Linked DNA regions of Neodiprion lecontei. The protein of the gene in region 2 purifies or fractionates together with the protein of the main gene of each other region. This does not show direct contact. Links are inferred from orthologs where the notes say so. Each region holds a gene or a part of one and is shown on either strand. Other genes may lie near its edges.

Region 1 (4,099 bases), on a different chromosome or scaffold from region 2:
TTTGTAGATATTGCAAATTGACATCGAATTAAGTATGTGAATGTGTCGCGTTCTCATAGTGTCTGGACTCATTGAGGAATGCTCACAAGGTGCTTAAGATAACTTTCATGACTGATAGGCAACGTTTCCTATGCAGACGTACTTTACATCTACAAAGTCGTCGATCCCATGGTGAGAACCCTCTCTTCCCAGTCCAGATTCCTTGATGCCACCAAATGCAGCTTCTGTACACGAAATAAGCCCTTCGTTTACCCCAACCATGCCTACTTCCAGTTTCCTTGCGACTCTGAAAACCTGTGATATATCCTTGGAGTAAAAATACCCTGCAAGACCGACAGGTGTATTATTTGCCTCCCTAAGAACTTCTTCCTCGCTTGAAAATTTGTTTATAACAGCGACAGGGCCAAAAATTTCTTTGTTGTAAATTTGCATTCCTTTGGTGACACGCGTAAGGACAGTTGGGCCATAGAAAAGAGGGCCTAATTCAGGTAAAGGCTTGCCTCCACAGTGGAGCTTCGCTCCTTTTGTAAGGGCATCATTGACCAGGTCAGAGACCATCTTGAGTTGTGACTCTTTGATCAGTGGGCCATTGGTAATCCCTTCTCGACTTCCATCGCCCATCTTGATATCAGAGTTAATTTTAGAAACAAATTTATCGACAAATTCAGTATGCACATTCTCATGAACAAAGAACCTGTTAGCAGAAACGCAAGTCTGTCCTGTGTTGCGAAATTTGCTGGCCATTGCACCAGCAACAGCGAGGTCAATGTCAGCTGATTCAAAGACAACGAATGGAGCGTTTCCCCCGAGCTCAAGACTTAGCCGTTTAATTGTCGATGCGCACTGTCTGTAGAGGATCTTCCCGACAGCTGTTGAGCCTGTGAAAGACATCACCCTGACCCTCGCATCCTCGCACAAGAGCTTCCCAACAGCCGCAGAGTTCTTGGGACTGGTTGTGACAACGTTGAAGACGCCAGCTGGAAACCCAGCCTGTTCTGCCAGATTAGCGAGCGCCAGAGCGGTCAGCGGAGTCTCTTCAGAAGGCTTAACGACACAAGTACAACCAACAGCCAATGCTGCTCCAGCCTTTCGGGTGATCATAGCATGCGGAAAGTTCCACGGAGTGATGAGAGCCGCAACACCAACAGGCTGCTTGAGCAATAGGACCTCTCTACCGCGCACTGGCGATTGGATCACCTCACCATTGACGCGACGTGCTTCCTCAGCAAACCACTCTACGAACGAATTACCGTACTTTACCTCGCCCCGCGACTCCGCGAGGGACTTGCCGCTCTCCATGGTCATTATCTGCGCCAGGTCCTCCGCATGCTTCACCATCAGGTTATACCACCCGCGCAGCAAGTCGCTCCGTTCCTTCGCCGTCGTGTTGCTGAACTCCCCCACGGTGAAGGCTCGCTGCGCTGTATCCACAGCAAGCTTCACGTCCGACTCGCTCATGTCCGGGACTCTGCCGACTACCGAACCGTCGAAGGGATTCAGCACCTCAAATGTCTCGCCGCTACCGGCATTTCGCCATTCGCCGCCAACGTAGGCTTGGTTTCGCAGCATGCTCAGTGCACGCCTGCAACAATGTTGCCACTGACTGTATCGCATTAGGGAAAACATGTTTAACTGTTACCCGGTTATCGGATTATTATGATGAGACAGATTCGTCGGGTTACGTAATCCCTCTAAAAACGCTATGAACCCCAAACGATCGACCGGGTTCGAATCTCGAATTTCGAAGCACTGACGCTTATAACTGCATAAAAGAGGACAGCCTTGCTCGTACTAATAAGCCGCCAGCATGATTCTACCGAGTCTACTCTCGGAACTCGACACCAGTTCGGATTGATATGGTCTTACTGGAATCGAATTTTAATGATCGCTTTGCATGGCGACGGCTTGTAATTGCGCGACAAGCAGTGCGACTTGTTGACAACACTCAGTGCGTCTTACCGGCGTCAGACAATGTTTACGAACGAATTTTATTAACACGTTGTTGTTTGACTTTTATCTGCAGACGACAGATTGATCTCGATTGTAAAATGAGTAACAACGCGAAGAGGACTATATATGTCGGTATGATTCGCCTTGTATTTTTATAATCACTGGATTGAATGAAACTAACCTCAATTATTCTCGCTCGATTTCTGTATTTTCTCGAAGGTACTAATTATCTTGTCTGTTTCTATTTTTCCACTACCCGAGTTATTTTTTTCTTCGGTTAATCATTCACTTGATGTTCAAATATCATATAATTGAGGAAATAAAGATATGAATTTATAATAGGTTAGGTTAATAGTGTAAGTTGTTTTTCCTCAATGTTCCTGCGACCAATGTAATTGTACGTAGGTGGGTTGGCTGAGGAAGTAGACGAAAAGGTGCTTCACGCCGCGTTTATACCATTCGGAGAAATCGTCGATGTTCAAATACCACTAGATTACGAATCTGAGAAGCACCGAGGATTTGCATTCATAGAGTTTGAAATTGCTGAGGATGCTGCCTCAGCAATTGACAATATGGTACAAAAAGACTAATAAACGATATAATCAGAGGCAGTGAGAGACAAATTAATAAATTTATTATTCTTGTGTTTTTCATTCACTAGAATGACTCTGAGCTTTTTGGCAGAACCATAAGAGTAAACATAGCCAAACCGCAAAAGATAAAGGAGGGTTCATCTAAGCCAGTTTGGGCAGATGATACTTGGCTCCAGGAACATGCTGGAGAGACACTAGAAACTGATGACTCTACGGCAAAAGTTGATAGCGGACCTCCAGCAAAAAAAGGAAAGCAAAATCCTCAGGTCTACTTTGATGTCAGTATAGGAAAACAGGAGCTGGGCAGAATCATCATGATGCTTAGAGCTGATATTGTTCCCAAAACTGCAGAAAATTTTCGTTGCCTCTGCACACATGAAAAAGGATATGGATATCAGGGCAGCACTTTCCACAGAATCATTCCAGATTTCGTATCCTTGACTTTGAGTGTCGGTTGAAACACCCCATATTTTTTTTCAAGCCAGACACCAATCAAAAGAAAAAACAAAAGGTTTTTTCCTAAACTAATATTTTTATAAAACAGATGTGCCAAGGTGGAGATTTCACAAACCATAATGGAACTGGAGGGAAGTCTATATATGGAAATAAATTTGACGACGAGAACTTTGAGCTCAAACATACGGGTCCTGGGACCTTGTCAATGGCAAATTCAGGCCCTAATACAAACGGTTCTCAATTTTTTATGTGCACGGCACGTACGGACTGGCTTGATGGAAAGCATGTCGTATTTGGTCACGTTCTTAGTGGATTAGATGTATTAAAAAAAATGGAAAAATGTGGAACCAAAGGAGGTACCCCTACTCAAAAAGTGGTCATCACAGCTTGTGGCGAGCTGACATAATTAACTGATAAAAAAATGTTATTTTATTATAGCTTTCTAATAAACTCTATAATACATTGTATAAATTCAAAGAGTATCCCAATTTTTTAGCCGATAAAATAGCGATGATAATGAGCACTCTCATCAATACATAATATATAATGCATAATATGAAGCCAAGCATACAAAGAAAGAATCCTTGTTAACTTTGATAATTCGGGGAAAAGCATGTAACAAATGTATTTTTGTAAATGTTATCATTATTTTTTTCTAAAATTGTTTCTGAAAAATTACCTGTGAATAATATGGACTCTGGGGTGTTGAGTCAGACAATGCAAAATTTATATTGTTGATATTTGATGTAGACTTCTCAGAGTCTTGATAACATGCCACCAGCTCCGACGATAGTTTCACCAGTAATGTAAGATGCGTCCTCACTCGCTAAGAAAGCTGCGATTCCTGCTATTTCGTCTGTAGTTCCTAATCTTTGCAGAGGGATTTTTGACATGGCCAAGTCATGTGCTGCCTCGGATTCATAGAGCTATAAATTTTGACCATAAATTTATACATTGTTCACGAGATGTACAAATTTTCACCGGATAACTAATTCACCTTTAGACAATATTTAATCAACAATTGAATTGGTTTCACTGATTGCATATTTATATTGTTGATACATACCGGTGTTGAAAATTTTGTTTTTATTATGCCAGGA
Region 2 (7,787 bases):
GCTTTTCTTTTACAATACCCAATTCATTGCTAGCTTCCTCTAACCGTCCTTTCAAATCCCATTTAGGTCTTTGCTTGGTTACAGCTTTCGTGACTTCTGAGTTATTAGTTTTATTTGTAGTCGTAACAGTAGTATTTCTCATTACTTTTGACGTCGTGATTGGTTTTGGCGCAGGTTTGATGTTTGGTCTTTTATTTTCACTTGGTTCATTTGTAGTTCCAGGTCTCTTGATGGCAACTTTTGTGGTACCTGTACTTCTTGTGATTACTCCATGTGTTTTTGCTCTGACTAAGACAGGTTTTTGGGGCACTATTATTTCTGCTTTTATTTGCCCTGGAATATTATGCGTGCTTTTGTACTTTTTCGAATTCTGTGTGTCATTCTTAAGATTTTCATCTGATAGTGCTTTTACTAAATTCTTGTTTCTTTGAGAATGACCATTTACACTCTCTTCAGTATTTACATTCACAGTGTTAAGCCCCTTTCTTAACACTACCTTTGGCTTAGGTAATCGTGATTCCATCTACAAACATTCGGATAGGGATATCATTATTTTAAATAAACTTTGCAAATAACTAGTAAAGATGTGTTGATTTGGAAGGAATAGGAAAACTAGCTCAGCATAAAATTACGAATTGAACGATGTGTAACTGTGACTTGAAGCAAATCTCACCAATAATTTTGCTTTAGGTTAAATTTTATTTTTATCAGTAACAAATCAGATTGTCTAATTGAAAACGTGATTTTATAGGCGTCTTCTCTGTCGCATCAAAGCGTTGACTCGTGCTAGAGTTGTTTTTACTGAACGAGTAACGTTTGATTAATTATCGCCGAATCCTTTCTGCTTATTGCGTTATAATTTAAACTAAAATTACACCGACAACTCGCAAGGTATCGATAACATATCCATAACGAACATATCCAAAGTTCACTGCCTCAAATTTATTCAAATACATGACACGAAGTTAACAAACCTTTCTGCATGCGATCCACTAAAAATATTAGGCACCAAATTCACAAGACGCTGCCAATTATTCAGAGTATTATTCTATTCGTGCGAATATCATTCGAAAAGTGCGTGCCAGCAAGAAAGGATGATCACAGTACCTTTGTATGCATACGAAGCTAATATTATCAATTAAAAATTGCAAGAAAACTTAGCGTCGTAGACAGCCTATGATCAAAGATGTCTAACGTGAGTACGGAACGCGAGTACCGGACTTCAAATATCGGTTACGAGATTCAAACTTGTTTTTATATATATACTTATCCTAAATCCCTTTATTGAACCAATGAAAAACGGGCAAGTCTCACCCAGCCTATCAGAAAATTTTCGAATTTTCGATTCGATGCATTTTAAAAATCCAATAAAGAAGCGTATAAAACTACTAAAACTCTGTTATTGAACAATTTTATGACAATTTTCGGAATGCAGTTAGTCAAACATGAATCAGTATTTTTTTCCGCGAAAGTTTCATTCAGATTGATTGAAATAACTGAAAGACTTAAAAATCTCTGGTCATATGTAGCCACAATAAAGAATGTCGCGTCAGTATATCGTATGTAATAAATTTCTGATCGAAGTTATTCAACGAATAAAATAATAAGTTTGAAATCTCACTGATGCATTTTTCATTATTTATTTGATACCGTTGCCGATTAGCGCGATTAGTTAAATCAAGACTTCAGCAGTCACGGATGTTGAATTTCTATTATGGCATACGTCAGGCTCGTATAGCTTTTCATCTAGTCCCCACACTTACCGTTGGAGCCACGTAAAAATTCATCAATTCTAACCTCGAAGTGATGGGAGATTGGAATTGTGAATATTTTCCGATTTAATATTAATAACAGACGTAATAATGGACATGGATGAAGTTGCGAAACTGGAGCATTTGTCTCTTGTTTCAAAAATATGCACAGAATTAGAGAACCATTTAGGCTTAAATGATAAGGATTTGGGTAATACAACGACGCTTAACCTAACCTAATGTCAGAAACAAGCGTTCAGTGCAATGATTAATTCCAGTTTATTTATTTAACGTTTCAGCTGAATTTATTGTTGACCTGGCAGAAAAGAATAACAGTTTGGAGTCGTTCAAAAAAGTTCTCATCGAAAATGGGGCAGAATTCTCGGTAAGTTGGAAAATTGTATTCAAGATACCAGCATTTGATGTTATTTGTTTCATAATTTATTTCTCTTTTATGTACACGTGCTGTTGACCGTTATTTGCCAAATTCAGGACTCCTTCATGGCAAATCTTCTCAGGATTATACAACACATGAAACCGTCGAAACAGTTGAATGAAAAATCTCACGGTTCAAACCACAGACAGGATGACTTGTCGCTAAAGTTCCCCGGCCTGGCTATACCAAACGAGCATAAGAAACTCCAGCCTATCAAAGAGGAGAAGGATGAAGATGTGGTTAATGACACCATGGCTGCGCTAGAAGCCCTCGCTCCTTCAGGTTCAAAAACTCAACCCAATTCAAAAAAAGACCAAGAAGGACCTGTAGTTGAACCCCCTAATGACAAAAAAGACAAAGATAGAGATAGGAGAAAAAACAGATCGATAGATCGCAAGCGGGACAGATCAACATCACGTAATCATAGAGATAGAAAACACAGATCACGATCACGTGATCGGTCTAGATCTAGAGACAGAAATCGGAATCGAAGACGTCATGGATCAAGAGATCGAAAGAGGTCTAGATCAAGAGACGCACGTTCAAGATCCAGAAACAGACGTTCCAGATCACGTGATCGCAAGAACTATAAACGCAACAAACGGCATGAAACTGACCGCTCAAGATCACGTTCTGTAGAAGAACTTGCAGTTGATCCCGAAGTCGGAAAAATTTATACTGGAAAAGTTGCAAATATTGTTCAGTTTGGGTGTTTTGTGCAACTAGAAGGTTTAAAGCGCAGATGGGAGGGTTTGGTTCATATTTCACAACTTCGGCGTGAAGGTCGTGTTGCCAGTGCCAGTGACATTGTTTCAAGAGGCCAAAAAGTTTTGGTCAAAGTACTGAGTGTAGCTGCTCAAAAGGTGAGGAACATTTCTCACTATGCAAATCTAGAATGCATGTTCCAAGGGGAACAGTAAAGTTTAATGGCATGATATAAAAACCATATTCAAAGTGCTGTTACCATACATTGATGAATCCTGCAGCAGTCTGTTTGCACTAGGATGTACAAATTTTAGGAATGAAAAAACGGTTTAATCAATTCGTTTATCAGGTTTCTCTAAGCATGAAAGATGTTGACCAAGAGACTGGACGGGACTTGAATCCAGTTGTGAGCATTTCCAAGGCAGACGAGGATGAAAAACATTTACGAAATCCTGACAGACCAACATCTTTGCTAGAACTGCAAGGACATTTAGATGAGGACGAAACATATTCCAGGAAACGTGTGCAAAGATTATCCTCCCCTGAAAAATGGGAAATAAAACAAATGATGTCAGCAGCTTGTATCGAGAGGTATGCTTCAAATAAATACAACATCATGTTCTAACACTTGATTTATGCAATTATATATTCATTGTTTCATTTTTACTTTTATATGGTAGGAGTGAACTTCCAGAATTCGATATTGAAACTGGAATCTTGCCTCGTGAAGATGATGAAGAAGAAGATGTTGAAATTGAATTGGTAGAAGAGGAACCACCATTTTTACATGGGCATGGTAGAGCTCTTGGTGATTTGAGTCCTGTTCGGATTGTAAAGAATCCTGATGGATCGTTGGCACAGGCTGCTATGATGCAAAGCGCTCTGGCAAAAGAGAGACGAGAACAGAAAATGCTGCAAAGAGAGCAAGAAATGGATTCAATACCTGCAGGACTGAACAAAAATTGGATTGATCCTTTACCTGATGGTAAAACTATAACTTTCAGTGAATTTTAGTTTAAATATTTGCTTTTAGTTCAAAATTACTTACACTAGGCACAAATTATATTTTTTAAACGAAATGGTATTATGACTCGAAAACATATTAATTTGTTTATTTCAGCGGAAAGTCGGACTTTAGCTGCAAACATGCGTGGCATAGGATTACAGACACAAGACCTCCCCGAATGGAAAAAACACGTCATTGGTGGTAAAAAATCGTCATTTGGTAAGAAAACCAACTTAACACTGTTGGAACAGAGACAGAGCTTACCAATTTACAAGCTCAGAGACGAACTGGTGAAAGCAGTAACAGATAATCAAATTCTTATCGTCATTGGCGAAACCGGATCTGGTAAAACAACACAAATTACTCAATATCTTGCGGAAGCTGGTTTCACATCACGAGGTAAAATAGGATGCACGCAGCCGAGAAGAGTAGCGGCAATGTCTGTTGCTAAAAGAGTTGCCGAGGAATTTGGTTGTAGATTAGGACAGGAAGTCGGATATACAATACGTTTTGAAGACTGCACTAGCCCTGAAACCAGCATAAAGTATGTTTGAAGATTTTGTATTTTTCTTACATTTGAAAACTTATTTAAAATGCGAAATTTCACCTCATTTTATTGTAATATAGGTACATGACAGATGGTATGTTACTCCGAGAGTGCCTCATGGACCTTGATTTGAAAATGTATTCTGTTATAATGTTGGACGAGGCACATGAGCGTACTATCCACACAGACGTACTCTTTGGTTTATTGAAACAAGCTGTAGGTCGACGGCCAGATTTGAAGCTCATCGTCACTAGTGCTACTCTCGATGCTGTTAAGTTTTCACAATACTTCTTTGAAGCACCGATATTTACAATTCCTGGGCGGACATTTCCTGTTGAAGTAAGATTAAATCGTCAATAATTTTGAAATAAAAATTACAGTAGCATTGACCAATGTAGTTTTCGATAGATTGAATTAAATTTTTCATTGAGTACTCCAAACTCATCACAAACCTTAAAATGTAATTTGACCATATCTTTATTATCGATTTTTAGGTGATGTACACAAAAGAACCAGAGACAGATTATTTAGATGCTGCTTTAATAACTGTGATGCAGATTCACTTACGCGAACCGCCTGGAGATGTTTTGTTATTTTTAACTGGGCAGGAAGAAATTGATACTGCTTGTGAAATTTTATATGAAAGAATGAAATCTCTCGGCCCAGATGTGCCAGAGTTGATCATTTTACCAGTTTACTCTGCACTACCCTCCGAAATGCAAACAAGAATATTTGAACCTGCCCCACCTGGATCCAGAAAAGTTGTTATAGCGACAAATATTGCGGAAACGAGCCTCACGATCGATGGTATATACTACGTCGTTGATCCGGGTTTTGTTAAGCAAAAAGTGTATAATTCTAAGACTGGAATGGACAGTCTTATTGTCACGCCCATTAGTCAAGCAGCTGCTAAACAGAGAGCTGGCAGAGCTGGGAGGACCGGTCCTGGAAAATGTTATAGATTATACACAGAAAGAGCTTACAGGTAACGAACATCATTTTATTGTAGTTTTAGTGAGTTTTCAATTAAAAATATGGTTTTTCCTTGTAACTGAGAATTGTCTTTCCAACTTTTTTACGTTTTCCTTAGCAAAATATTGAATGTTGACAAAGTTTTGGCAATAGATTGTAACTATCTATTCTGTGTAGGGATGAAATGTTGCCAACACCAGTGCCCGAAATTCAGCGAACGAATTTAGCAACGACAGTTTTACAGTTAAAAACCATGGGAATTAATGATCTCTTACACTTTGACTTCATGGATGCCCCACCTGTTGAATCTTTGATTATGGCATTAGAATCCTTGCACAGCTTGAGTGCTCTTGACAATGAAGGGTTATTGACAAGACTGGGAAGGCGGATGGCTGAATTTCCACTAGAACCGAATTTATCCAAAATGCTAATTATGAGCGTCCACTTGCAATGCTCAGACGAAATTCTTACCATTGTCAGCATGCTTTCAGTACAGAACGTTTTCTACAGGTAAAATCAGTTATTCGGAATATATGTCTATTTTCCGATTCTTCTGATATTATAACTTACGAGTTTGTATAGTCATACGTTCGGAAATTAAATACTTTTTTTCTGATTTCTAGACCAAAAGATAAACAAGCACTTGCAGACCAAAAGAAGGCAAAGTTCAACCAGGCAGAAGGCGATCATTTGACATTATTAGCAGTGTACAATTCCTGGCGAAATAATAAATTCAGTAATGCTTGGTGCTACGAAAATTTCGTACAAATAAGGACTCTGAAAAGAGCTCAAGATGTTCGCAAACAGCTGCTAGGTATAATGGACAGGTAAGTAATAAATATTTTACTTATATTTACAAGCAACTGTTAAAATGTCTGAAAAATTGAGCAAAAAATATTTGCAGTACAATTGCATTGTTTATTACCATTTTCTAGGCACAAATTGGATGTGGTGTCTGCTGCAAAAAATACAGTGAGAGTACAAAAAACTGTATGTTCTGGATTCTTCAGAAACGCGGCGAAAAAAGATCCTCAAGAAGGATACAGAACACTAGTTGATAGCCAAGTTGTTTACATTCATCCAAGTAGCGCGTTATTCAATCGGCAACCTGAATGGGTACATAGTATTGATATTAAATGCTCTTGAACTCATCATTATTGTAAGAAATAGATAGCCAAAAATTGATTTACTGATATTCCAGGTGATTTACCACGAACTTGTCCAAACGACAAAAGAATATATGCGAGAGGTTACGACGATTGATCCGAAGTGGCTGGTCGAATTTGCACCGGCATTTTTCAAATTCAGTGATCCTACGAAATTGAGTAAATTCAAGAAGAATCAACGATTAGAACCATTATACAACAAATACGAAGAACCTAATGCATGGCGTATATCCAGAGTTCGACGGCGTAGAAATTAGACTGAATATTCATATCTTGAAGCTATCAATCATACATATTATGTTCTCATCTTGAAATGTTACCATTGCTGCAATAAACCACAAACGGTTTGTCTCCATTGCTTGGTTAGTATTATATAAAAATTTCTTGGTTGCTATTAACACCATTTGACGAAGCGAAAAACTGCTTCCAACATTATGTCACTGTAATGTAGAACAATTATTTAATTTTTAATGTAAATTTACGACCACGTATTGCAGATGAAGTTAACTTTGTGAGAAACACAACGGATTGGGACATGTTGATTCAAATAATGGGAAGAGTATAAAACTTTCAAGTCATTCTCAATTTTTGTGATAAATTGATGGTATCCAATCAGCCCTGGATAATTTTATGTACAGGACACATAAGAAAATATGTGTCATTAACAGGATAAGATTATACATGGACAAATCAAAATAAATTTACCTATTGTGTATGTGTTGTATAAATATTATACTGTTCAATATTTTTACTTATGATTTAATTGTACATTCTTGCACAAATCAACAATAATCTTGGCCACATAATGGTGTGCCCTGTGAGAGGGATGTCAAATGGTGCGGAAGAAAGTCATCAGAAATACATTAGAAGCACACGAAATAAGCCAAGTACGTAACATTTGAGTCCGTCTTTGCACGCTTTGAAATTAACAATTTACTGCTAGCTATTAGTACTTGCCTAAAATGTGATTGTGACAGACGATGTTACTGACAAAAAAATTGCAACATTAAAAAGTCTCGAATATGAAAGTGAAAAACGTAAACGTTTCTCAGTAACAGAACATCTTATTAAAAACAACTGCACACCAAAGGTAAGAATGAATCAAGTAAGTAACTTTCATTGTAGCATCTGATTGAAGAAACAAAGAATGTATTGAAATCAGTACATTTTTCAAGTTGTCGGACTTCGCCAGACGGATAACAAT
Region 3 (5,082 bases), on a different chromosome or scaffold from region 2:
ATTGGGACTGAATTGTCGCAAATCCCATATGTGTAGAATACCATCATCGCCACCAGATACCAGGAAACGCGATTCTTTTCTGTTCCACGAGATTACATTTACATCAGCTGTGTGTGCCTCACCTGCTGTCAGCATGCACGCTGCCTGAGGACTTGCTCTTGTGTCCCAAATTTTTATACTGAAGACAATAATTCGGTCAAAAATTTTGTCAAAATTAACTAAGAATAAGGTCACGGAATATACTTGAGCATATATCAAACCTTTTATCGACGGAACATGAGGCAAGCACATGCCTTTCGTTTGGGGACCATTGGAGATCCTCAACACTATGTGGAGCATGGGAATTATAAGGCCTTTGATCTACAAGCCAGTCTTCACCACTGCTGCTATTATTGTGATGCCAGATGTGAATGTTGCCTTTACAATCACCCGATGCCAGAGTTCCTTCTTCGGTAGGACACCAGTCCAAGCCATATCCTTCCTGCAGGTGTCCTTTGAATGTAAATATTGGTTTGGCTCCATCATTGCCTTGGTCATTTCGCTTACGGTAATTACTCAGCAACAAGGGATCGTCTACTGCTCTCAGCTGCTCGTTCAAATCCCAAAGAGATACACGACCCAGTTCACTCCAACTTGCAGCAAAGACTTTGTTCCGCACTTGCGTACATCTGTGACAAACAGTGTTAAACTCTGTGGATAGGAAACTCAACTCAATGCTCCTAATTATTGTGTCAGAATTTTTCTACGGAAAACTAGTTCAACCATATCATTAGACAGAGCACAATGCTTACCTCACTCTATTCACACAGCCCTGATGTTTTATAGAAGCAACTGTCATAACAGGAGCTCGAGCTTCGTCTTCATCGTCATCGTCATCTGAATCAGACTCGTCAGATTCCTCATTGTTACGAGCAGTGCCATGCAGGTTAGACATTTTCATGACAAGTAGGTTATTGACATGTGTTCTTGCAGCTTGCGTACCAGCTAGCATGTACATTGACATGGGATATGTCTCCCGTGAGATACCGAGGTCATCCCTGATAATGTCAAAGCTTAGACACGGAGCCCCTGTTTGAGCTTGATGTAACATTCTATATGCTGAATGATCTACTACCAATTCTTCTCCTTTTTCTAGTGGCTGTCCTGGCAAGTAAATTTTACTTTTTTTCTCTGTATCATTATCGTCTTCTGCTTCCATATCTTCATCTTCCGCTTCGTCATCGTCATCATCATCTCCATCATCTTCTGCTTCTCTATCGTCAACTTCTATCATCGCTTCTTCTGCAGGATCCATTACTTTTTTTTTTTGTAGAAAAAAAAAATTCACATAGATATAAAGGTGCACGAATTATTACTGATAGACGAACATACAGTAAAGAAAAATCAAAGATGTATAACGATATCTATTTGTCGTCAGGACACATGTGTTACTCCAAAGTATCTTTCAAGGAAAATTTTGGAATACAGCCTGTCACTTAATATTCCATGCGTAATGAAATAGAACAACTATCGAGTATAACGTATTTCCAGTCTAAATACGATTACGAATCTCTCTCTTGAAAATCCATCGCACGCTAACTGGGACTTACCTAACCTCGAATAAAGTGGCTCTGTATAAATTTATCGAGGAATGATATCTCTCTGAATGATATGAACCTGTCCAAGCAATCATCTGAATGAGCGCTTTCCCGAAAATTTTACATTATATCTCTGCTTTTCATTTATATACTTACTAATGTTTCAACCTTAAGGAAAGTCCGGTACGCCGTACACACTGATGAAAGAAATTAGGTTAGGGTATGTATCACGCCTGAAGACGCGCGACGACGCAACGTCAGTGTAGATGCGAATTACCAAGTCGTAGATTCAAGTGATATTAATGAATAAACAGTTTTGAGACGCAAATAAGCACTTGCTCCGATGCCTGATATCATAGAACTACGACCAGACAAGGGTCTTTTGTACCCCAACTTTGAAAAATATCAATTTCTCGACGAGCCAATACTTATTCTAGAAAAAGATCTGGAGACAGGTAAACAATCAACACTACGGAAGATTGGCTGTCAGATTTTCAACATGTATCGACTAAAAGTTTTGGATTTATTATTAATTGTTTAATTAACGATGTAAAAGAAACCTTGGCCTTCATATGACTGTGCTGCCTGTTATTTCAGAGGTGCTGCGAGTCGAACCCAGTAGTTCTCAAGATTCCTGGCTTGAAGCAAGGTCTTTCGCTTACCATAATCATTTGTACAAAAATCCGTTTAATGGCAAGTGTTATTTCGTCAACAAAGATAATGAATTATGGAAAATGGATACAAATGGTTTTTTAGAGTTGGTACATACCCTGACCAAATTCTCAATTGAATCTGGTGCCCCGGTGTATAATCCATCACTGAGTTTTGCTTCAGAAGACATCATAGTTGGCTGCAATGGGTGTAAAAATTTGGAAATAATTATTAAAAATGACTCACAACCCTTGTTAACATTCGTGTTTGAGGATATAGATGCTGGTATAATATTAGATTCAGTCTACGTTGAAGATAAATCAATAATCAACGTTGTAATGTGCTTTATAACTGAAATTGACAGCAAAAAACATTCTGAAGTTGTTTTGTATACATATTCTTCACCAGCTATTGATACAGTGGGTTCAGAACCTTCATCGCTGGATGTTAAATTTATTGGAAAGAGGATCTTGAGGGTGAAGGGAGCTGTTGAGTATGCTAATTTAGAATCAAACGGAAATTATTTACACTTAATGAGTCAAGACTCTGCTACCTTTGTTTACGATTCTTTAAGACCAGTGAATAAGGAAATTCCAACTGAAGGCAATCAAGAGATTAATATCCCAAAATACTGCTGGTCTCAGGATGAAGATTCACTTACTATTTGGTTGAAAGTTTTCGATGGCATTGATAAGAGTCAAATTAAAGTTGAGGTCAAGCCTAATAATATTGTCATAAAATATGAAGATCAGATATTGATGGCTGGGGAAAGTGGGCATAGATTGGATCCAGATTTAACAACTTGGTCACATGAGAAAGATTCGCTAAAAATAGATTTATTCAAAAATGAGACAGGGTTAATGTGGAATGAGCTGATTAAAGGGGACACTGGCGGTGAATGCTTACCAAATGAGGCTCTAGCAGCCGAAGTTCACAGCAGGTAGGTCTCCAGGGATATCGTTTATCATTTGTAAATATTCCTGAACATTAATTTTTTTGTTTTTAATATGAATCCATCCCAGATTAGCCTATTTATGCACTGAAGAGCCAGGAACCGGAGTTGGGCATCCAATGTTGGGATTCAACTCAGAGCAGCTAGAAGAATGTGATATTCAAGAGAGAGAAAATCAATTCCAAAGAATTAATATAGACTCTCACAAGACTACTCATTTAGTAATTTTAGGTGCAAATAACCGCGTTTTGTTCACACAAAGAGTCAAACACGGCCAGCTCTTGTGTTTGAGACATGATCATGATGGCTGCGTTTGGGTTGCTGGTGAAAGTAATGACGAACATTGGAGATTGAAGCATATTTCTACATTTCCTGGATTTGGATACGTAGAGGCAAGCAAGACTAACAAAAAGTTTTGCGTCTCTCCCCCTAGTAAGTCTGATTGTGAGCTTAATATCTGTTGTAAATTTATTCCAGTTCTTAGCAGTGTCTCATCTCACCCTAGCCTGTTATTTCATACATTTAATGTCTCAGTCTCACTTTCTTTTTTTGCCAGATTTTTAAGCCATTACTTCATTATTCGTTTGAGAAAAACATCATTTTTGCAGATGGGTCGTACGTAGCTATAGTAGAGCATGCAAGACATGTTTTTCTGTATGAAAAACCAGTTGGAAACTCAAAAATAGGACATCAACGCATTGTAGATTTGGGGTGTGAAGTGCAAGCCAATCCTGTTTTGGGTGCTGCAGCTTCAAATCGTTATCTGTATTTATTGACCAAGAATAAATTGTACCAATTGCAGATGAATCCTTAGATGTATTTAGCTTACATTTTAACTCAATGGCAGTGAAAGCACCAGTTTTTGTAAAAAATATACCAAACGTTGAAATGTGAATAACGTATTCATGTTGTATGTTTTTTTACATTTTATGGCAAAGAAACAGGATATACAAAGAATATTCTTGTTTGACAAGTAATCTCTGGATGATGTTGAATTTGAATGTGTCAAGAACAATGAAAGAAAGTCATGTAATATTAAATAATAATTACAAATTTATTTTGCAATATAATTGATTGAGAAAAATAAATATCTTTTTTACTGTATGTGAAAATAACTGAAAGGTAGAATAACAACAGCAAATCCTTACAATTAAAAGCAGAATAGTTATTTGAATATCTCTACCCTTGAAACCGAGAATGATTTGTAAATAGTTGCTACTATGCACCACATATTAAGGAGTCTCATTCATTTCAAAGTTTTCATCAATTTAAACTAATAAATTTCAACAACATCATCAATTTTGACTGTTTTCAAAATATAGTAGCCAATCTTACTAGATACAAGTTACATTCATTTGATCCTTTTCATCAATCAGTTTACATAAAAAATAAATTCAGCATCATAGTCAGTTTTCGTAAGATGAACAATACGATTGAGTTCAAATGATCAGATTAATAGTAGTCATCTAGCATTACCTATTTTGTCCGATAACATTAAAATAAGAAAATTGGTTTGGGTACAGCGCACAAACTATTTTGCGTTACACCAAGGTTCGAACTGATCAATCACAACACTCAAATATACCATCACAAATATTTCAAATTTATATATTCCAATCATCCAACAGGATTCAATGTATTTCGTAGGTGCAATCTTATGGCGGGCGATGCTTAGCTTTGAGTAAATCTATTAGATTGTTTCTAGTCAAGTCCTGAGAAGGTGGCCAATACCAAACAAGTCGTTCAGAGAAACTTTCGCAGAAGCTAGCAATGGCATCGGCTGGTCTCTCGTAGTCATACTTTGTTTCTTTTGATTTTGGATTGTAATAATACTTGTGTCCGCTCGATCGACTTACATGGCAATGCCAGGGATTTGCAGTACCTTTGAAAAATAGAATGCTA

The links.
Region 1: the proteins of ATP-dependent RNA helicase DHX8 (region 2) and peptidyl-prolyl cis-trans isomerase E purify together in Homo sapiens (affinity purification with mass spectrometry; 3 studies listed by BioGRID and IntAct, counting the BioPlex papers as one, with this or other methods). This does not show direct contact. The link is inferred for Neodiprion lecontei from reciprocal best matches to the Homo sapiens genes DHX8 and PPIE.
Region 3: the proteins of ATP-dependent RNA helicase DHX8 (region 2) and nudC domain-containing protein 1 purify together in Homo sapiens (affinity purification with mass spectrometry; 3 studies listed by BioGRID and IntAct, counting the BioPlex papers as one, with this or other methods). This does not show direct contact. The link is inferred for Neodiprion lecontei from reciprocal best matches to the Homo sapiens genes DHX8 and NUDCD1.

What each region holds. Positions count from the first base shown.
Region 1 is NC_060262.1:20,670,045-20,674,143, reverse strand, and holds peptidyl-prolyl cis-trans isomerase E, read left to right. Parts: upstream 1-1,856; coding exon 1,857-2,082; intron 2,083-2,355; coding exon 2,356-2,525; intron 2,526-2,611; coding exon 2,612-2,974; intron 2,975-3,087; coding exon 3,088-3,405; 3' UTR 3,406-3,470; downstream 3,471-4,099. Other genes in the region: 3-sulfolactaldehyde dehydrogenase, read right to left, coding at 106-1,626; dehydrogenase/reductase SDR family member 4, read right to left, coding at 3,755-3,925, 4,066-4,099. UniProt on the Homo sapiens protein: Involved in pre-mRNA splicing as component of the spliceosome. Combines RNA-binding and PPIase activities.
Region 2 is NC_060261.1:38,195,091-38,202,877, forward strand, and holds ATP-dependent RNA helicase DHX8, read left to right. Parts: upstream 1-1,755; 5' UTR 1,756-1,862; coding exon 1,863-1,962; intron 1,963-2,050; coding exon 2,051-2,136; intron 2,137-2,243; coding exon 2,244-3,050; intron 3,051-3,241; coding exon 3,242-3,483; intron 3,484-3,572; coding exon 3,573-3,877; intron 3,878-4,012; coding exon 4,013-4,442; intron 4,443-4,525; coding exon 4,526-4,784; intron 4,785-4,939; coding exon 4,940-5,430; intron 5,431-5,594; coding exon 5,595-5,927; intron 5,928-6,040; coding exon 6,041-6,244; intron 6,245-6,352; coding exon 6,353-6,533; intron 6,534-6,618; coding exon 6,619-6,840; 3' UTR 6,841-7,311; downstream 7,312-7,787. Other genes in the region: carboxy-terminal kinesin 2, read right to left, coding at 1-523.
Region 3 is NC_060260.1:33,101,154-33,106,235, reverse strand, and holds nudC domain-containing protein 1, read left to right. Parts: upstream 1-1,890; 5' UTR 1,891-1,920; coding exon 1,921-2,032; intron 2,033-2,137; exon of another isoform or gene 2,138-2,174; coding exon 2,175-3,168; exon of another isoform or gene 3,169-3,250; coding exon 3,251-3,612; intron 3,613-3,788; coding exon 3,789-3,994; 3' UTR 3,995-4,555; downstream 4,556-5,082. Other genes in the region: glutamate-rich WD repeat-containing protein 1, read right to left, coding at 1-178, 261-668, 792-1,294; cap-specific mRNA (nucleoside-2'-O-)-methyltransferase 1, read right to left, coding at 4,836-5,082.